Caenorhabditis elegans: one gene and its partners. The protein of the gene in region 4 interacts with the protein of the main gene of each other region in a pairwise test. Each region holds a gene or a part of one and is shown on either strand. Other genes may lie near its edges.

Region 1 (4,131 bases), on a different chromosome or scaffold from region 4:
ACGATGAATTTCGGGTTTTGAGTGAGGCTCAGGGGGTTTTGTAGTTTGTAGTCTCTGAGTCTCACCCAATTTTTGAATTTTCTATTAGTTTTTTTGTAAAAAAGTGAAATTCGTTAATTTTTTTGCGTTTCTTGAACATTTTCAATTTGAAACTCGAAAAAATTCGAATTTTAGTTTCAAACACACCCTGAAATTCCGTTTTTGGTGAGGCTGAGCCGGGGTTTGTAGTTTGTAGTCTCTGAGCCTCACCCAAATTTCCATAGTTATTTTAACGGTTTTTTCCTGTAAAAATAAACTTTTCCACTGGTTTTTCCAAAAATATTGAGAAATCTTGTTATTTTTTTGGGTTTCTTTTTAAAAAAATTCGAATTTTAGTTCAAAAAACACTCAAAAACCGATAAAATTCAGCTTTTTGTAGTTTGTAGTCTCTTAGCCTCACCATTTTTTTTTAGTTTTTTAACAGATTTTTTCTGTAAAAATATAGTGAAATTCGTTATTTTTTGCGTTTCGTGAACATTTTCAATGTGTAACTCAAAAAATTCGAATTTTATTTTGAAAAACACCCTAAAATCAAGTTTTGAGTGAGGCTCGGAGCATTTTGTAGTTTGTAGTCTCTCAGCCTCACCCATTTTTCGTAGCTTTTCAACGGATTTTAGCGGTAAAATAGGATTTTCTACTAGTTTTTTTTTCGCAAAAAAGTAAAATTTATTAATTTTTCTGAGTTTCGTAATTATTTTCAATTTGAAACTCGAAAAAATTCGAATTTTAGTTTCAAACACACCCTGAAATTCCATTTTTGGTGAGGCTGAGCCGGGGTTTGTAGTTTGTAGTCTCTGAGCCTCACCCAAATTTCCATAGTTATTTTAACGGTTTTTTCCTGTAAAAATAGAATTTTCTACAAATTTTTTAAATCAAAAATTGTGAAATCCGAATTTTTTTATGGGTTTTTAAAAAAATTCAAATTCTAGTTCAAAAAATACTCAAAAACCGATAAAATTCAGCTTTTTGTAGTTTGTAGTATCTGAACCTCACCGAAATTCCAAAATTTCTCAAAAAAAATTTGTTTTTTTTTGGTTTGTAGTTTGTAGTCAAGAAACTATAGTTTGTAGTGGTCCTGAGCCTTTTTCCAGAATATATTTTTGTAGTTTGTAGTCGCACGTGGAGTCAGAAAGTCCCATTTCGTTTTGATCTTCGAAAAATGCGGGAGAAGAGACGCAGACATCTCATCTCATTTCGTATGGTTAAGAGCGTGCTGACGTCACAATTTTTCTGGAAAAATATCCCCGCATTTTTCGTAGATCAAACCGCAATGAGACAGCCTGACACCACTTGTAGTCGAAAATAGCAAGATTGTTCAAATTCATTAGAAAAAATGTTTTTGTAAGAAAAAAGATTGATTTTTGCATATTAAAAATCTTAATGCTTAAAAAACTGAAAATTTTCCAATTTTGTAGTTTGTAGTCTCTGAGCCTCAACCAATTTCTTCTTTCAGGTCGTCGTTTCACGTTGGTACGGTGGAATTCATCTTGGACCCGATCGTTTTCGACATATTAATAATTTAACTCGGCAAATTTTAAGTGATAATAATTATGGACCGAAGAAGTCTTAAAATTCTATATTTTTTAACGTGATAATTTTTTTTTCTTCAATTTTAAACTCCCTACGTGTGCTTTTAATATTATTAATCCAACAACTCTTTCAAATTGTAATCATTTTCATTTATTTTTCAAAACATTGGTCACTTTATACTAATAAATAGTTTTTCAATCAAATATGCGTTTTCTGATGGAGTTGGGCTCACCGAACGATGCAAACTACACTGTATTCTGCTGTTCTCATGTCGTTTTGGCTTTTGCCATTTTTATGGTAATTTTTGGAAGTGTTCTGGGATAATTTTTGGAATTTTGGAATTAAAAAATTTTTTGAAAATTTTGGGAAAATTTTTTTTTTTTTCAAAAATTTCAAAACGTTTTTTTCACTTTTTTTTTTGAATTTCAAATATTTTCCAGATCCTTGACTTTACCCTAACTCTATTCTCATTTGGCTTAGAGCTTTTCCTCATTTTCGTAAGTTTTTCTCCTGAAAGTTCCCCTCAAAATCCCCAATTTTCCTGCAGTTCCACGACACTTTTGACCAATTTTGGGCGATTTTTCACGGAATTTCACTGGTTACTTCAATTTCCGCAGTTTTGGCGATTTGTGTGAGTATATTTGGCGGAAAATTTGAGAAAATCTGAAATTTTTGACTTAAATTTTAGGAAATTTTTTTTCTTAATCTGAAATTTTGAAGCTGTTTTCCCAAAAAAATCAATAAAAAAGCCTACGATTTCCATAATTACCAAAAAAAAAATCCAAAATTTCCTCATTTACACTCAAAAAAACCGTAAAACCCCGAGATTGAAGCTCAGACTACAAACTACAATGTTGGTTGAGGCTGAGCGCAGAATTGTAGTTTGTAGTCTGAGCCTCACCCAACATAATTATATTTCAGGATAATCCAGTGGCAATTATTGTTTATGGGTGTCGTGTTATGTTGATTTTGGGATTCGTTACAACTCGGTTCATGTGAGTTTGACTACAAACTACAAACTACAAACTACAAACTACAAACTACAAACTACAAAATGCAAACTACAAAATGCAAACTACAAAGTACAAACTACAAACTACAACTGGGAGGAACAAGCTTGCTGAGACTACAAACCACAATTTGGGGTTGCAACTCAAAAAGTTGTAGTCTGTAGTTAGTTTGTAGTTTGTAGTTTGTAGTTTGTAGCTTGTAGTTTGTAGTGTGCACTCTGTTTTTTGTAGTTTGTAACTTGCAAGTCATATTAGAAACATATTAGCAATTTTCCAAAGTTTCAAAATTCTCACCTAATTTCGCAATACCGATATCAGTACAATAAGTCTTATGGAAGTTGTAGTTTGTAGTTTATAGTTTGTAGTTTGTAGTTTGTAGTTTGTAGCCTGCAAGTGATGTTCGAGACGTATTGGCAATTTTCCAAAATTTCAAATTTCTTACCTAATTTCTCTAAACCAATACTAGTGCAATACGTGTTAGGGAAATAGTAGTTTGTAGTTTGTAGTCTGTAGTATGTAGTTTGTAGTTTGAATTTTGTAGCTTGAAAGTCATATTCGAGACATATTGAGGCTTTTCCAAAATTTCAAATTTCTCACCTAATTTCACAATACCGATATCAGTGAAATACGTGTTAAGGAAATTGTAGTTTGTAGTTTCTAGTGTGTAGTTTGTAGTTTGTAGCCCTTCCAACCCATTTCCAAACTTCAGAATCTCAATGCGTGATTTCACATCAAAAGAAGAGCCAACTCTGAGTGAATTGTTGAATTTATTCCAAATCGTGATTGTGATAATGTACACAATTGGCATTTTCCTAGTGATTCGTCTATTTACCTATTCAGCTGGAAGATATCGTGGATATTATGACGTGGATGATGATTTGAAAGACGAAATTCGAAAGTATGTTTTTAGGGATTTTGAAAAATTGAAAAAAATACGTTTTTTTCAGAAAATTCCTGGAGTATGAGGCGGATTTGGATGAGAAATCAGAGAAGAAGGATTAATTTTTTTAAACTTTTGAATGATTTTTAATAAAATGGCTGAGTAGTTTGGGTTTTCAACCGGAATTCAAATTTTCCTTCAATTTTTTTCTTTCTGCTCATTGAACAGGTCTCATAAGCTCGAGAAACTTCTGGAATGGATAATTTTTTGACTCTGTCGAAAAAGTGTCAATATTAATGCAAATTATGAAAATTTATTCTCAGAAACAATTACAATCATGTATTATAAACGTTTCTGCCATTCACCAAGCAGTCGGTACAACTTTTTTTTACCCAACACGATTCCGGACTTCTTGCTCCAGCGCAGTTTGCAATCCAACCATCACTTCTCACATCTTTATCACAAGTTTCCGCACATTTTGGTCTTTCAGCTTTTGGACGTAGTTCAGAACACGCAATACGGCAATAATCGTACCGATAGGTATAGGCATTACAGGCCGAGAGGCACAACAGCAGGAATAGTACGATTTTGGTTATCATTATGATGAAGTAGAATATGGTGATATTTAAAATTTTAAAAACGTGGAATTTGAGTTATTCGTTTTTAAGACAA
Region 2 (5,748 bases), 1.4 Mb from region 4:
CCATGCGTTTGGATAAATCCACCACGCCAGGGAGTCTGAAAAAGAGAAATGTCCAATCATAGAAAAATAAATAAACGTCAACCTTGAACTGAGCTGAAAGGGGCCCAAATCGTGAGTTTCAAAATGGATACTGTGACAATGAAGAAAATGGTGGACAGATATCCGCATGCAGCACCAGCTAATCTCTTTCTAACACTGATTTCCGCTTGAAACCAATCCACGATTTGATCGAAAATTGTGATTGGCTTCTGTTGAACACGCGGTGAACTGACTGTGCGGTTTGGGGACCTTCGCAAGTTTGGTGAAGATGATGAACTGCTTGCAGCGGGAAAATCGTTCTTTCTATAATTATTCTCATTGTATGAATCTTTACTTAATTGATACCTTCTTCCCGGAGAAAATTGATTATATAGATGTTCATCTGTCGTTGTTGTGAATGAAGAATGACTATCACCCATCATTTCTGAAACAATAAATCAGTGAATTAGAGTTCCAAACGGGAAAACCCATAAATAACAAATAAAATGAAGTTTAAATGATAATTTATTTGAATTCAATTGGAAAATAATCATTGAAGTTCGAGGAAATAATAAGAAAACTAATAAATGAACGAAATCATTTCGAAAACTGCGCCAAAAGGCAAATAAATTTGAACTCGAAAAGTACATTGTCATTGGAGCGCGCTTTCCCCAACGGCGGGAAAGTTAATTTTTCAAACATCATTCAGACGACAGTGGTTACTGCGGTGGTGGTTGTTCCTTCTGTTGGTTCTTTGTCAGGTTCGTCGTCTTCGCGTTCACTCAATGAAATATCTGGAATAGATGATTATTAATGTTTAAATAAAGTTAATTTTACCTGAGTCATCAATAATTGCGTTACTCTCCTCATAGTATAGCTCAATCCCGTTAATACATTGCATTTCCTCCTCGCATTTCACACAGAAAAGAGTCACTGAGAAACAGTTGATACAGTAAAAAGCACTACAATGAACACACACTCGCACATTTCTGAATTAATAGCTTTGTTTTCTTGATCATCAATAAACAAAACTAACTCTTGATCAGACACTTTCATATCGTACTTTTCACATTTTACACAATCGGAGCACACGAATCCACGACTTTGCATTGTTCTCCGAATTATGACATCTTCACCACCCACTACATCTTTCTGTCAATTATCAATGTTACGAGTGCAAAAATTACTTTTAAATCAAATCGGAATGTCAAATTCAGGAAAAAATATATCTGTTTTTGAATACTATCAATTCGCAAAATCGGGATTTATCACTCAAAAAATACGGTACCGGTGACGTAGTGATGTAGTAAGTAGTACTGTAGTGGCTAACTTTTTTTCAATGTTTAAGTTGTGAATATCGAGGAATTGAAAATATTTCAGTCAACTCGAGACCGGAAATTCCCATTTACCTTATTATTTCCTAACATTTCTGTCAGCAAATTTCGTCGACTTTGTAAAATTTTGTTATAAAGGCTCAATGCACGAATTCTTACTCGATTCGGAAAGAAGTAATCTGCCAATACAAGTGTTTGCCTTCCAAAATATGCCTTCAAAAATTAAATATATCTTAACAGTACTCCTCAACTCTTCAAACCTTCAATCGACAAAGAAAAAGTGCAGCGATAAACATGAGAAACATCACCATATTTTCTGTATAGTTTGGAGGATTTGGTTCGTTGAAACATCGTCTCCAACGATTTTCACGGTCTCGAATACTTTTAGTAAATGGACTGAAAACATCGAGAAATTCATTCATCACATCTGACATTGAACTATTTCCAGCAACTTTCAATTCATAATGAGCAGGAGTATCGATATTTGTTCGGTTCATTAAAGTATGAACAGTTGATAGAGTCTGAAACTTTGAATCTATAGATTTGAAGTCAATATAATTTTATTCATTTAATTACCGTAAATATACCATAATCAAGCATACACATAAAGAAAGGAGTGACACAACTGACAATTGTGATGAAAATATCTAATCGAAATTTAGGTCGCTCTTGTTCTGTCATTTTCCACTGACCTCGACTGACATACTAAACGGTGTCTAAGATTTTTAGAATGATAATGAACCAGAGAAACCTACCTGCTTTGATTCATTTGCCATTAATGGCATGACTTTACGAGCTCCGCGAAATGCACAATCTTGATCAATTTTTGTAAATTCTTTTGTGAGAAAACGGTTTTTAAAGTCGTCATTATAGTTGTAGTTATACATGAACCGAAGTGTCTGAAAAATATCAGTTCAAAATTTTGTATGTTAACATATTACTTATTTAAACTCACATAGATGAACGGCCATATGAGCAATCCTGGCATGATACAATATCGAAGAATAAATGAAATTATATTGATAATCCGTATGTATACATTCACAATTCCCATCAAACTTTTCTTTATACTTGCTCTCAAGTTTGCAGTTGTATCATCTGCAGCATTTGGTTTACCATCATCAGATGACTGGTATTCAGCTCGAATGTTTTTCGCCTTTTTTATCTCTTCTATCACTGGATTCACTTTCTTCAGTGCCCATTTTGCTGCTTCAATGTGTACGTAGAAAATCTTTTTCACCGCGAATTCAATTGCTTGAAAGTAAGCTGCATAAAATGGTACAGCTGCTCCTTTAACTCCTTTTCCAATGATAGAAGGTAAAGAACATACTTCCGTTGAGAAACCCTTTGCTTGATGGCAAATCTTAATGTTTTATAATAGGATTGATATGTTGACTGATTGAATACCTTTGCAGTTTTCTGAATCATTTCACAAGCATCGCCGTGGCTTCCAAAAAATCGAGCTTTCCCCTTACAATAAAAATATGCGTCGTCGAAAATATCAAGACATTTTGTATAGGGAGTTTTGAGCATATTTCGACATTGATTTGACAAGTTGGCTATAACTCGATAATGTCGCCTCATGATGTCCACAAATCTTAATTGAAACAATATCAATTTAATCAAATTACAAGAATTTGACATTTTGGGTATCCCAATTGCAACTTACTTTGTCATCTTTTCATCTAGAACCAATAGCATTTTCTTGACCTTATTCATTGGACCAGATACATTTTGAAGAAGTGCACGAAACCGAGAAACAAGCATAGCTCCTTTATCCATTACATTCCCTTCCACATCATTTCTTGAACTCATAACATCAATTTGAACGCAGGCAACACCAGAAGCTACTTGATGAATATTTCCAATAACATTCATTGCAGGACCCTGAAATTAGTTTGAGATGTTCCCGTGAATAGATGAATTGATAAAACTTCAAAAGCCATTGTGACAAGAAGAATTAAAATTATGTTTTTGATTTTTGTAGTCAACATGACGTGGATAGAAATCATAAAGTACGTCATCATCTGAAACGAAATATTTTATTAATTCCACATAAAAATCCTGAAGTACTTACTTTTGGAAATATCAAAGTGAAAATCAGAAAAACGTGGATAATTGTGGATATGGAAGTTCCAATACTATATTGAAAATATTTAACTTTAGATTTAGGATATGATCTACTTACAACTCCGGGTATTGTGAATATTTGAACGACAACAGAAAATACATAACTATTCCAAATAATTCAATCATTAGGATGTTTCGGAATAGAAGTACAATAGAATTAGCTCTGGAAAAATAATTTTAAGATTTTCTTTTTTCTCAAAATAATTCCAAAAACCTTGTTCCATCTTCGAATAAATTGTCATAAATCCCATCATCTTTTTCCTTTTTCCATGGAGGATATAAAACGGACAACCATTTTTTCAAACGTTCAGAATATCTTAAAACTCGGTTTTGACCTGATTTTTCTCTGAAATTTTTCATGTGTTTGAACAAAATCCACACTCTAACCAACCGTCTGATATTATTAACCACAAATTGAAACTTTCTCACAGCTCGATTGGCTCGACGTTTTACATTCCATAATCCAATTAAGCCCATAGTTGATACAATTCAGTTAGATTTTAAAAAGGTGAAATAAATATTTTCACCATGATACGTTTTGAAAATTTGTGAACCGCTGGCAAACAGATTTGAGTTCACGTTTTGAACATTTTCTCCGAATTGGGAAACTGCAGGTGTCCCTTTTCTCGGCTTTGCTTACTAAAGAGCCAAGAGAGCCAAACGGATTGGCATTTGAGACCTATGTGATTCAATAGCTCATGTTTTGAAACGGTTATACGTGGAAAAGTTAGAATAAGGTTTTCAAGCAAAATGTGCCTACTTGTGTGCCTATGAAACCAATTATTTCGAATTTTTCAGAACTACGAGCTTCAATGGAACTATAGTATACACTAACTATAGGATATACATCTCTCGGAACCGCTGGCAACAATATTAATTTTTCAAACATTTGTGAACTGAATTACAGAATACACGTTACCAAAAGTACATCGATTGTTTATTTCTTTTTATCACCAGAAGTACATCTGATTTCGGAACAGGCGTTCACTAATTTTCGTTGCTTCATTGCAATGAAAAAAACGAGTTGCTTATCGTAATGCTTGTTATCATATCACTGTATCTATTGCCACTTCATATCTCATTTCCTCTTTTTGTAGGCCGATTTGGGTCAATCCGATATAGAGAACACCTATAAACAAACCCCTTTTTTTTCATTTTATGACGTGAACATTCAGATCCTCAATAAAACGGATGGGTGTGGTTATGTTCTTGTCCCCTCGAACACAACTTTTAATTGTATTTCTAATTCTCTGAAGAATTTCAGATTTCTGAAGAGAAGAATTCAATTGTACTGTCATTCCCGTCCCTTTTTGGGGCTTCCGACGCAATGTTGCCTCTTTTCAATAGATACGACGAATAAAAAAAAACAAAAAACAAAGAAAATGATTTTGCTTCCGATTGCTCACCAGGCTTCAATCTATACTGTACATTTTTCCCCAATAAATATAAAATTTGGATAGTAGAGAGACAGAAAATCAAAAAAAAATATATCGTAACTTGTATATTGTTCCATAAGAGAGACGCACAAAAGGATATATTTGATGGTGTGTGAAACCCGAAATCGTCGTGGTTACCCCCGTTGTCGGCGACAATTTCAACAGACTTTTCATACTGACTGGTTTTCGGTCGACAGTCATTTTTCACCCACTTTCAATTTGACTAAACTTGGTCAGTGTTCGGTTTTTCATTGGTTACACAACCTTAGATTTTTTATTCTTTGTGTTTGATCCCTGATTTGACTAGAAAACATTAATTTGCTTGTTTGATACTCAATTTCCCATGTGCCAGTTTAATTTTGACAGTTGTAGGAATTCCTGGTTTCGTTAAAAATTAGTATTTCAACCATTGATTTGTTTTTGAAGGTATCTGTTAATCTATCAAGAATTTATTGTAAGAAACCACAAACTCGCCAAAATCTTGGTTTTGTATTTATTTTTCATATTTATTTTTTGTATTATCTATTTTTTAAACTCACTTTCTTACTGACTTGGCTTACATAAATAAAACCGTTCAAATTAGATGATAGATGACTTTCAAGAACTTAAAATTGGCAGAGAGTTACCTTTTTCAAAATGATGCGTATAATTCGGCACAATTTAGTTTTCAACACAATACAACATAAACAAAAAGTAAACAAAATTTTTAAAAGTTCGTCAATTATCAATTTGGTCAATTGTACGTAGTAATTGAATCCTTCTTTCCATCAACCGTAACCATATTTCGACTTTTGCTTGCCCCTTTTCCGTTTAATTAGCCTTTCCTCCCA
Region 3 (7,636 bases), on a different chromosome or scaffold from region 4:
AAGGGTCTCACCACGAAAGGCCTCACCACTATGGGTCTCACCACGATGGGTCTCGCCACGAAGGGTCTCACCACGAAAGGTCTCACCACGACGGGTCTCACCACGATGGGTCTCACCACGAAAGGTGAATTCCACGGGAATTCAATAACCGCCAAATTATTTTCAAAAAATTAGAATTTGAATTCCCGCCAAAATTTTATCTTTTTTTAATTTTTATTTTCAAATTTTTCCTAACTGCCGTAATCCTACAGTACTACTACAGTACCTTGACATTATCATCTACCAACTCCCAACCCAATATCTCTTCAAATGCTTAAAACTCAAATTTTTCCTAACTACAGTAACCCTACCGTAATCCTACAGTACTACTACAGTACCATTACAGTACCTTGACATTATCATCCACCAACTTTCAAGCCAACACCTCTTCAAAAGTTTAAAATTCAATTTTTCTTAAACTACAGTAACCCTACAGTAATCCTACAGTACCCCTACAGTACCACTACAGTACCTTAGCATTATCATCCACCAACTTTCAAGCCAACACCTCTTCAAAAGTTTAAAATTCAATTTTCCTGAAACTACAGGAACCCTACAGTAATCCTACAGTACCCCTACAGTACCACTACAGTACTTTGACATTATCATCCACCAACTTTCAAGCCAACACCTCTTCAAAAGTTTAAAATTCAATTTTCCTTAAACTACAGTAACCCTACAGTAATCCTACAGTACCCCTACAGTACCCCTACAGTACCACTACAGTACTTTGACATTATCATCCACCAACTTTCAAGCCAACACCTCTTCAAAAGTTTAAAATTCAATTTTCCTTAAACTACAGTAACCCTACAGTAATCCTACAGTACCCCTACAGTACCCCTACAGTACCACTACAGTACCTTGACATTACCATCTACCAACTTCCAAGCCAATACCTCTTAAAATGTTTAAAAATCAATTTTTCCTAAACTACAGTAACCCTACAGTAATCCTACAGTACCCCTAAAACACTACAGTACCTTGACATTTTAAATTGATATGACACATTTAAATTAAATTTTGAATTCCCGCCAAAATGGTTTCAAAAAATTAAATTTTGAATTCCCGCCAAAATGTTTTCAAAATTTAAAATTTTGAATTCCCGCCAAAATATTTTCTCAGAAAATTTGAATTCCCGCCAATTTGTGATGACGTCACAAAAGGGGCGGGGCCTATGTGACCCCTCTTGTGTGATTGAGACTACAAACTACAGAGTTCAAAGACCAAAGATCAAAGATCAAACTACATAGGGACAGAACGACACGCGCTTTATATATAGTAAATTGATTATGGCAATAAAATAAAGTTTCTTAATAATTTTTTGGATTGGATTGTAAACAATTTTATTATCTCAAACAAACCAGATTTTTCATGGATTTAACTGGATCCAAGGGTCTCGATGATCTGCTGGTATTGAGCGATCTTTGGGGCGGCATTCTTCTTGGCTTGAACGGTTCATTCTAAGTATCTTATTTTATTCAGCGATTTCGTACACCTGCACCATATGTGGCCATCGAGACGCAGAAGATGACTGAGACTGAAGAGACTGGAGAATTTGATCATGTTACTGTGCGCGTCACTGCTATAGAGCCCAAGAAAATGCTCTCTTTTTTCTAGTACTGAATAGTAGTTTGATTGAAAATCTCCTGACTGGGCAATTTTCGGTTTGTACGGTGGAGCGCGTTTGCGTTCATCTAGATTTTGAAAAATATAAAAGATAAACTAAAAAAAAAGTTTCCCGTGTTCCAATAAAAAACGAAACATTTTAATTTTTGAATTGGCGTGAACTTTTTTCTACCGCCGCTATATTCTGGATTGAGGGGGGAGGGATACGTGGAAAAAAATGTCGGAGTGAAAAAAAATCAATATATTTATTTCAAGGTTTTCGTTTTCCAAAAATGGTGGGAAAGGAAAAGAAGGAATCTACGAGGCTAAAATTAAGGTGAGTGCTTTCAATCGCCTTGCAAGGATCCTTGGAAATGGGAGAATGGCCGTGCGAAACCTCTTCCACGGCGCCAACCATCGGGTACTGTAGACGAGATGTTTCGCTCGTGTCAGGACCCAAGTTTTCATCAACAAATTTACATTTTTTCAGCGCAATAAAAGAGTATCTTGGAAAATATAGAGGTGTAGACGCAGACAATAATGAAGGATACGATGGTCATCAGAAATGGCATGAAAATGATCAAGTTGTACGCAGGACTTTATCAGATTTTACAGGACAAATAGATAAATTTCAGGTTCTGCAAGCCATGGCCTACTTCTATAAGGCTGTGAAAAGCAAATTATACTCTGAAGTACGATCTTTTTTGGGCATTTTGCTTCCACATGGCCCGGACGATGGTCGCCTTTCTTCTCTTCAAAGTCTTCTAATGGATACATCTTCTGAAGAATCTCTTAAAGTTCGTCAACGCCTGAAAGACCGCTAAAGGCCGGCCTAAGCCGGCCCACCTACCGCCTACACCCTAAAGACCCTCTAATGGCCCGATAACGGCCCGCATACGGCAGCCAACGCCTAAAGGCCTAAAGGCCCGGTAAGGCTGGCTATCCACCGACGAAAGCGTACGTCCGCCTACGCATACCTACGCCCGCCTACTTTGCCTATATCCACCTACGAACGCCTGCACCCGCCTACAACGCATACACTCGCCTACATCCGCCTACGTCCGCGTACGCCGGCCTACACCCCTGAAAGACCTCTCAAGACCAGGTAAGGTTTGCTAACGCCCGCCTACACTCGCTTATGACCGCCTACGACCGCCTACTTTGCCTACATCCACCTATGATAGCCTGCACCCGCCTACAACACATACGCTTGCCTACGTCCTGTAACGCCCTTTTGAATTACAGGAAGCTCTTCTATTATCGATTGCCGTCGGAAGTCGTCCACTAGTCGAGTTTGTTCTCGTACTTTTCGTCGATGCACCATACCTTGAAAGAAGTGGTAAGTGTGAGGAAGTTTGTATTAAAGCGCATTTGCATCACACTAATTTCAGGATCTGCTAATTCTCCACATTTTCCACCACATATGACTCCACTGATGCTGGCATGCATTTTGAATAATTTTTCGATTGTTCAGTGTCTTATAACTAGAGGACATTGTATTCAGATACCACATTTCATTACTTGTGAGTTCAAACATCATATTTGACGCGCAAACATTGCAAAAGAGCGAACATGCGTCGGTAGGACCGAATGCACCATATTCTACGCGCAAAAATGGTAAAGTGTTGCAGGTGAATGCAAAACCTGCAAACGGGAAACCGTAACAACCCACTCATCAACTCGCCTCGTCGACGTCATGCGTGCACTGTCCTCTGAAGCCTACCTGTGGCTGGCAACTGATGACGTGTTCGCTGCCACGTGTGCTGTCGCCCGAGACCTTCAACAATTGGCGAGCGATGATCAGCTGGAATACGTGGAAACCTATCGAGACCTCGAGATGAATGTGCAACGGTTTTTGTGCAGAATTTCAGATCAAGCATGGAGAGTCGACGAGTTCAATATGATGGTTGCTAATGTAAGAATTTGTGTTAAATTTTAGATATTGGGAGAATTTAAATTGAATTTCAGAGAAACTACTGCCCGGAAAGAATGACTGAAATCTCATCACCGCGTCTTCAAATGGCTATGGATTCTCAAATGAGACAATTCACGTGCTCCACCAATTCACAGACAACTATTAAGTCTGTCTTCAGATCAGGTAACTGTTTTTGAGGGTGAAGTCCTGAGGCGAGCCGTAGGCGATGATGAGGCGTAATCGTGCCTACCTACCATAGACTTTCTAATGGCCTTATAGCTGACCTCATACACTTTTCAGACTGGTACAACTATGGAATCAAGCCAAAACGAGATGCTTGGCGTTTTCTGCGAGCCTGTATCCTGATGCCATTCCTTGTGATGCTTCATGCATTTATGCCAACAAAGGGTACAACAATGTGCGTTCCACTTGCTCGATTCATTGCTCACATCACAATGTACTTGGTCTTCCTCATCGCCGCAATTCTCCGTCCAACAATCGGTTTCTACTTTGCATGGACTGATAGTAGTAAGTGGATTTTGAATTTTCATAGTTAAAAGCTTAGGTTTAGGTTTAGGTTTAAGCTTAGGCTTAGGGTTAGGCGTAGGCTTAGGCTTAAGGTTTCACCTTAGGCTTCGGCTTAAGATCGGGCTTAAGCTTACAACATTTTTTGTGAAATTGAAATTTTTTCAGTTGAAGTAACTGTACAAGCACTCGAAATCTTCATGTACGCCTATGTGATGGGATTAGCTCTGGAGAAGGGAATTCTATTCTATAGAGTCGGACGAGATGGATTTTTTGCCTTCTGGTGGAGATGGTTCGATGCGGCTTTGATCTTTATTTTCTTGTTTTCACTGATATTTTTTACTGGAAAATGGGGAAAACGAGAAGCTTTCGATCCGAGTTCCGTTGACAGAATGCACTGGGTTCGGCTGAAATCTTTTGAATAATTAATTAGTTGAAATTTTCAGCCATCTTTCGAATTCTCACTTCTCCATGAGATATGTCTTGCGATCGCCTGTGTGCTGAGTATTTTAAAATGTTTTTACTATGCTCAGATGATGAAATCAATCGGTGGATCTGTTGTAAGTGGAGTTTGCGCGTAGAATTCGATGTTTTGACCGCAAAAACAAAAAAAGTCTCTTGAGCTACATAGGCAGACAGCCTGCCCAGATACTTACCTACTGTCTATTGTGTGTGCTTTGGCAGCGGGAAACTGAATATTTTCAAGTCATCGTACCGCTACAGTATCCCTACAATACTACTACAGTGCCCAACACAGTAATCCTAGTAGTCCTACAGTGCCATTACAGCAAGTATACAGTGGTTATACAGTAGTCCTACAGTCCTCCTACACTACTCATTCATATGTCTAATACTAAGTTGTTCCCAAATTAAAATAATCCTACAGTGCTACTACAATAATCTTACAATAGTCCTACAGTAATCCTAAAGTAATCCTACACTCGTTCCACAGTAATATCACAGTAATCCTACAGTACCACTACAGTAGTCCTACAGTAAACTTAATTTTTCCAGATATCTGTCGGAAAATGTGTTGGGAAGACGTACACATACATACTCATCATGGTCGCAATCATCGTTTCGTTTTCTGTTGGATTGAATATTATCGTCGACCCATACTTGAATCGAAGTACCATGAAAATAGGAGATCAGGATTATACAAAGACCACGGATTCTTATGAAACGTCAGTTCTTTTTTTCTATATTTTATCTGAGACAACATATATATTTTCAGAATTGGAACATCCTCTAAAAACCTGTTCTGGTCAATTTTCGGTTACTTGGGACCCTCAACATTCACTACAGTTGTTGGAAACACTGGTCCAAACATGGATCCTGTGAAACATACTTTGAACTCGTCAACTTTCGAAATTCTCGCTGCTGTTTATCACGGAATTCTGATAATTACAGTACTCAATTTGATGACATCGATACTTGTGAAAGGAGCTGATGAGGTGTTGGATAATGAGGAAATGGAGTTCAAATTCACACGAGCAGCTATTTATTCCGAGTTTCTCTCGTGGGAAATGGCGGCTCCGCCACCGCTTAATTTGATTCTTGTAGTTGCTCATTTTGTGCATCGGAATTTGGTACGTTGAATTCGAATTGGAATTTTTCAAAAACCTCTGCTTTCAGCTCAAGAGATACTATGCTTCACCGGCGTGGGGCGAGAAGCCGGCAAATGATGATGTTGAGGATCAGGCAGCAGATGAGCAGTACATGGTGAGTCTGAAGCTTGAGTTGTAGGCAGGCACGCCTACCTACGAACCTGCCTGCTGCCTATTTGTACAATGAGCTGACACATAAAATTTTGTGTATTTTCAGCAACTTCTGATGGTGGTTTTCGCTCGATTCGTTGCTTCCAAGGAGTGCAAGTACAAGTCGATTTGGAGATCCGAATTTCATGTAAGCTTGGCTAGGCGTAGGCAGGCATGCGGTATACTGTAGGTCTGGAAAGAAGTTTACGCGCATTTGCACCAGCCTTTGAAAATTTCGAAACCATTTCATTTACTATATATAAAGCGCTTATTCTGTGTGTCCATAGTTTGTAGTCTATGTAGTCTTTGTAGTCTGTGAAGTTTTGGCTTCTGTGGGGATAGTGAGTTGGGGTTAGTGTAGGGATATAGTCGGGGTACTGTAGTGGTACAATAGTGGTACGGTAGGAATACTGTAGGGTTACGGTAGTTTCAGAAAAGTTAGTTTTCAGCCCCAGAAGTCGGGGGCCGCGCCGGAGGTGCGGTCCACGGCTGGTTTAGGAATAACATTTTTGGGTTTGTTGAGCTTTTCATGCAGGCCTGGGTACTAGAGGGGTGGGCCTTAAAGTCAGGCAGGCACCTCAAACATGCCTGCCTGTGCCTACCTTAAGTTTGGCTGCCTATTTACGTGACTTATACAAGTATGCCTCAAAGTCTACGTGCCCCCCTCAACTCTGCGTACCTGCCTACGTGCCTGCCTACCGCCTATTTCCGATTGTAGTCTGAAAACGTCTACCGACGACCGTATCTAACTCAGTTGGTACTTGTGTAGACATAAGGCAGGCGTAGGCAGGCAGGCATGCATTTCCATATAATTTATGGAATTTTCAGAGAGAGGAAAAACAACCGCCTCGAGTGACATTCCTCACAACCGGAGCCCATTCCTTCCTTATGGACAACACTTTCGAAGGATTCAAAATGAGGTCATCTCGAACCATGGAAGCTGAAGGATACAAGGAATACACCACTGTCCAGTATTATGTGCCTAAGAGTAAGACACCGGGTCCAGCTGCTGCAGCTGATGCAGGAACTAAAGTGGCTCCGAAGGATGACAAACCTCAAAACAACCCGGTTCTAGCTAGAACTGGAATCGATTCTCCAGTTCCATCTTCTAAACAGGTTATGTCTTCGGAATTATCTGCTAGCATTCCGAGAGCTCGCGACGTCACATTCCTCGGTGTCTGAAGCAATCGGAGTTTTTGTTTTAAGCGGAAAATATTAATTATGTATCCATTGTGTTTATTATGACTTCGAACTGAAATAAATCGAGAAATTGGAACTTTTGTGATTTATTTGCTATTCAATTCTGATAGATAAAATACAGCAAAGCACGAGCAGGAGGTAGGCAGGCAGGTGGGCAGGCAGGCGAGCTAACAAGCAGCTTCGATGTGATGGATCGGCAAGCTGGGAGGTAGGTAGGTTTAAGATCAGTAAGAAATAGACAAACAGGCTCAAGATAGGCAGGCGAACAGGTAGGCAGGCCGGCTTCAGATAAGCATATATGCAGCCAGTTGATGTTAGGGATGTCGGCAGACTTGAGATAGGCCCTTCATGTAGGCATGTAGGCAATCATAAGGTATGCATGTACGCAACAATACCCATACATGTTCCTCTAACTATACGTATTCCCCATCATATCATCATCACCCGATTCAAATAGTTCCCATTCCAGTTCCAAATTGCTGTCGTCGATCATCGATGAATCCGCCCTTCCAACTTTTGTTACAGCCTCCTCTTGGCTTCGCAAGTCAATAATTATGATCGTAAACGATTGGAAATGGATTTGAAAGAGAGA
Region 4 (3,573 bases):
ACGATTGACCACGATTTCAGTCAAATTTCACAAAAATCATTTCCAGGCAACAACAATTCGCGATAAACGCCAATCCTGTGGCTGTGCTCCAAGAGTTCAACCAAGTTGCTCTTGCCAACGAACCACCTATACTCAACCACAACAGTACAGTTGTTCCTGTCAGAACACTGCTCCAGTCCAGAAATCCTGTTCATGTGCCCAACCAGTTCAGCAACAAACCTACCAAATTCAAGCTTCTCAATGTGCCCCAGCTTGTCAGCAGTCTTGCCAGAACCAATGTCAATCTGCTCCATCTGTTAGTCAATGTCAATCTACATGCCAACAAAGCTGTCAGACTTCTTCCTGTTATACTCCAACTACTCCAGCTCCAGTTCAATGTCAACCATCCTGCATGCCAGCCTGTGAACAATCCTGTGTTGTCCAGACTCCAGCTGCAGTTCAATGCGTGCCACAATGCCAACAACAGTGCCAACAGCAATGTGTTCAAACTCAACCAATTCAACAATGTCAGCCACAATGTCAGCAACAATGTGTTCAACAATGTGCTCCAACCACTACTGCCGCTCCACAAATAATCAAGATTAACATGGAAATCTCTGCTCAGTGTGTTCCTCAATGCCAGCAATCATGCCAACAACAATGTGTTCAACAACAAGTTCCAGCCCAACAGTGCAATCAGCAATGCACCCAGCAATGCCAGACCACCTGCCAGCAAGCAGTTCCACAATGCCAACAACAGTGTGCTCCACAATGCCAACAACCATCAGCTCCACAGTGCCAGCAGTGCCAGAATACCTGCCAACAAGCTGCTCCAGTTTGTCAGCAACAGTGTGCTCCACAATGTCAACAGCAATCTGCACCAGCTTGCCAACAATGTCAGACTTCGTGCCAACAAACTCAACAGTGCCAACAACAATGTACTCCACAGTGCCAGCAACCATCTGCTCCACAATGCCAGCAATGCCAATCTGCATGCCAAGCTCCAGTTGCCACTACTGCTGCTCCACAAGCTGTCACAATCATTCTGGAAGCTTCAGTCTCCCAATCTGCACAATGTGAACCACAATGCCAGCAATCATGCCAACAGCAATGCGTTCAGCAGCAACAACCAATGCAACAATGTGCTCCAGCTTGCACCCAATCATGCTCTCAATCCTGTTCTGCTGCTCAACCAGCCCAGATGCCATGCCAGACACAATCAGTCAACTCCTGCTCGTGCCAGCAAAACTATTCTCCATGTGGAAATGGACAGTGTTGCAAGAGAAAGTAGACATCGAATGCGTAACTTTGACATCAGTTCTCTGTATATATGACACAATTTTCTCATTTTTTTCACAATAAATAATAATAATGCTTGAAATAATTTACTTCTAACTTCCAAATAATTTCTTCGATAATCAGCAACAAATAAAGTCCCATAAATTTTTTTCACAAAACATTATTTCTAAATGCCACGGTATTTTTTTACTCCTGCGGTAAATGAAATAAAACTTCACGCAATCCAGCAGTACATTTTTTACAATTTTTGAATATTTCTCAATCATTTCTGCATTTGGAAGTCGTTTGGTAAGTTCTTTTGAACATGATTTGAACCAAATAAAGTTTATATGATTTAGACAAGAAATTTAAAAGTGAAAACCAATGTCATGGTATTCAAAGATTTACGTAGCAGTGCGAGAATACCGCGCTAAACATAAAATCACTGGATGGATTTTGACGAGATGTCTCAATGTACTTCTTTTCATTCAACTTATTTTGCTCTGGTGGTCGTGAGTCATTCTTGATTGTTTGCGAATCATTTAACTGGGTCTTTTGCAGACTTTATATGTACGTGACAGTGACAATTGGTTATTACGTTCAGTCAACAATTCAAGCAACCATTTATTTGATTGTTGGATCATTTCTGTTTGTTATGTCAATGTGGAGTCTTGCAAAAACGTTGTTCACGAGAGTTGGCAGAGTTCCAGAAAGATATCGACCTAGTAAAGAACTTGAAGATAGATTGAAAGCAGTCACACCGATGGAGAAAAATCGATACGTGGTAGAGAAATCGACACCTGAACAGGTAAAGTGAAAAAATCAAAATAAGTGGTTTAATCTTGTCTTGATTGTTTTGTTTTTTATTATTATTTGTTTATTTTATGGATGCTAAATACACTTTATATAATACACCAACAAAGTTTTCAGCTTGCACAACAAAATACTATTTTGGAGGAGATGTGTACTTACTGTAAAGTAGTCGTCGCTGAATGTGATCAAGTGGGAAGGCTCAAGTATTGTTACGAGTGCGGACATATCAAACCGGATCGTGCCCGACATTGTAGCTCATGTGGGAAGTGTTGCATTAAGTATGATCATCACTGTCCATGGATAAACATGTGTGTTACACACGTCAATTACAAGTACTTTCTACTCTACATTATCTACACCAGTTTTCTTGTTTATTGGTATTTGCTCACTTCACTAGAAGGTGCTGTTCGATATTTTATCAATCAACAATGGACCGATGAATTGGGAAAGTTTTTGTTCTACTTGTTCAGTTTTATTGTCGGCGGAGTGTTTGGTTACTATCCACTCGGTGAACTTATCATATTCCATTATCAATTGATCTCATTGAACGAGACAACTGTCGAACAAACAAAACCAGCTCTTCTAAGATTTGATAATGCAGCTGACTACAATATGGGGAAATATAATAATTTTCAATCAGTGTTTGGATGGGGATTATGGCTGTGTCCAATTGATTCCAGCACCCAGGATGGTCTGCATTTCGACATAAGGTATTTTAGAATTTCGTTTAAAAATCAGTTTAGCACTACAAAACGTGCGCAATAAAGTATTTCTTTCTGAAAATTTTTCTTGTATATAAGCTAATCAGATATTTTTCCAGATACGTCAACACCCAGCAACGGAATCGATTTGTTAGAATTGAGGAGGAACCATCAAGTACTCAAAGTTCGCAGTCATCGATTCAATGATTCGGTTTAATGAAACTTTCCTTGATGTTTTTTTTTAAATTAATTTTTGTTCGTATCTATATACAGTGCTCCACAAAATGATACGGCCACCCCTAAATTTTGGTATAACTCAAAACTGGGTTAAGATAGCAAAACATAGTTTCATGTGAAAATGTTCGTTGTACTGGCTAGCTTTGAGATAAGTGATGGAAATATACCCGAAGCGTTCGTAAAAAAGAAAAAAAAACATTTTTTCATGAAAAACTATTTAAAAAACTCCACAAAATGATACGGCCAGGTGGTAGAAAAGTAGGAAAACTTAGAAAAATAAGGAACAAGAGATGATTAATAATCCACGGGATGAGCTCTTGTACTAATCACATCAAAAACGCGTGAATCCATGAAAAGTTAAAGATTGTCCAGGAGAGTTTGGTCAACTTTATGCCATGCGTCAAGAATTGCTCTTTTGAGGTCGTTAACATTGCTATTGTTTCCATCGTAAATCTTTCTCATCATGAATCCCCAAACGTTTTAAATTATGTTTATGTCCGGGGAGCAGGCAGGCGAGTCGGGAACAGGGAGCCCTCTGTCACTTATCCACTTGATTGTACGACGC

The links.
Region 1: the proteins of spe-10 (region 4) and spe-38 interact in a two-hybrid assay, tested with the Caenorhabditis elegans proteins (one study listed by BioGRID).
Region 2: the proteins of spe-10 (region 4) and spe-42 interact in a two-hybrid assay, tested with the Caenorhabditis elegans proteins (one study listed by BioGRID).
Region 3: the proteins of spe-10 (region 4) and spe-41 interact in a two-hybrid assay, tested with the Caenorhabditis elegans proteins (one study listed by BioGRID).

What each region holds. Positions count from the first base shown.
Region 1 is NC_003279.8:10,963,968-10,968,098, reverse strand, and holds spe-38 (uncharacterized protein), read left to right. Parts: upstream 1-1,716; 5' UTR 1,717-1,785; coding exon 1,786-1,866; intron 1,867-2,009; coding exon 2,010-2,066; intron 2,067-2,116; coding exon 2,117-2,200; intron 2,201-2,490; coding exon 2,491-2,564; intron 2,565-3,288; coding exon 3,289-3,477; intron 3,478-3,526; coding exon 3,527-3,581; 3' UTR 3,582-3,627; downstream 3,628-4,131. Other genes in the region: impt-1 (Protein IMPACT homolog), read left to right, coding at 1,493-1,609.
Region 2 is NC_003283.11:11,733,010-11,738,757, forward strand, and holds spe-42 (Dendritic cell-specific transmembrane protein-like domain-containing protein), read right to left. Parts: upstream 3,988-5,748; 5' UTR 3,960-3,987; coding exon 3,874-3,959; intron 3,829-3,873; coding exon 3,697-3,828; intron 3,646-3,696; coding exon 3,541-3,645; intron 3,494-3,540; coding exon 3,430-3,493; intron 3,380-3,429; coding exon 3,287-3,379; intron 3,240-3,286; coding exon 3,022-3,239; intron 2,950-3,021; coding exon 2,760-2,949; intron 2,716-2,759; coding exon 2,308-2,715; intron 2,252-2,307; coding exon 2,108-2,251; intron 2,058-2,107; coding exon 1,929-2,057; intron 1,874-1,928; coding exon 1,613-1,873; intron 1,566-1,612; coding exon 1,428-1,565; intron 1,171-1,427; coding exon 1,055-1,170; intron 1,008-1,054; coding exon 856-1,007; intron 813-855; coding exon 724-812; 3' UTR 531-723; downstream 1-530. Other genes in the region: npp-22 (Nucleoporin ndc-1), read right to left, coding at 1-35, 83-342, 385-461.
Region 3 is NC_003281.10:3,438,495-3,446,130, reverse strand, and holds spe-41 (Transient receptor ion channel domain-containing protein), read left to right. Parts: upstream 1-1,923; 5' UTR 1,924-1,940; coding exon 1,941-1,984; intron 1,985-2,137; coding exon 2,138-2,234; exon of another isoform or gene 2,235-2,282; coding exon 2,283-2,444; intron 2,445-2,892; coding exon 2,893-2,986; intron 2,987-3,038; coding exon 3,039-3,170; intron 3,171-3,278; coding exon 3,279-3,562; intron 3,563-3,615; coding exon 3,616-3,745; intron 3,746-3,862; coding exon 3,863-4,090; intron 4,091-4,255; coding exon 4,256-4,488; intron 4,489-4,533; coding exon 4,534-4,647; intron 4,648-5,101; coding exon 5,102-5,271; intron 5,272-5,321; coding exon 5,322-5,676; intron 5,677-5,722; coding exon 5,723-5,809; intron 5,810-5,911; coding exon 5,912-5,992; intron 5,993-6,672; coding exon 6,673-7,026; 3' UTR 7,027-7,120; downstream 7,121-7,636.
Region 4 is NC_003283.11:10,382,707-10,386,279, forward strand, and holds spe-10 (Palmitoyltransferase spe-10), read left to right. Parts: upstream 1-1,543; 5' UTR 1,544-1,566; intron 1,567-1,616; 5' UTR 1,617-1,641; coding exon 1,642-1,769; intron 1,770-1,818; coding exon 1,819-2,065; intron 2,066-2,187; coding exon 2,188-2,780; intron 2,781-2,890; coding exon 2,891-2,978; 3' UTR 2,979-3,034; downstream 3,035-3,573. Other genes in the region: pqn-2 (Prion-like-(Q/N-rich)-domain-bearing protein), read left to right, coding at 47-1,270. UniProt on the Caenorhabditis elegans protein: Involved in spermatogenesis, specifically in the morphogenesis of fibrous body-membranous organelles (FB-MO), which are Golgi-derived organelles used for transporting sperm-specific components, in spermatocytes and in their localization into budding spermatids.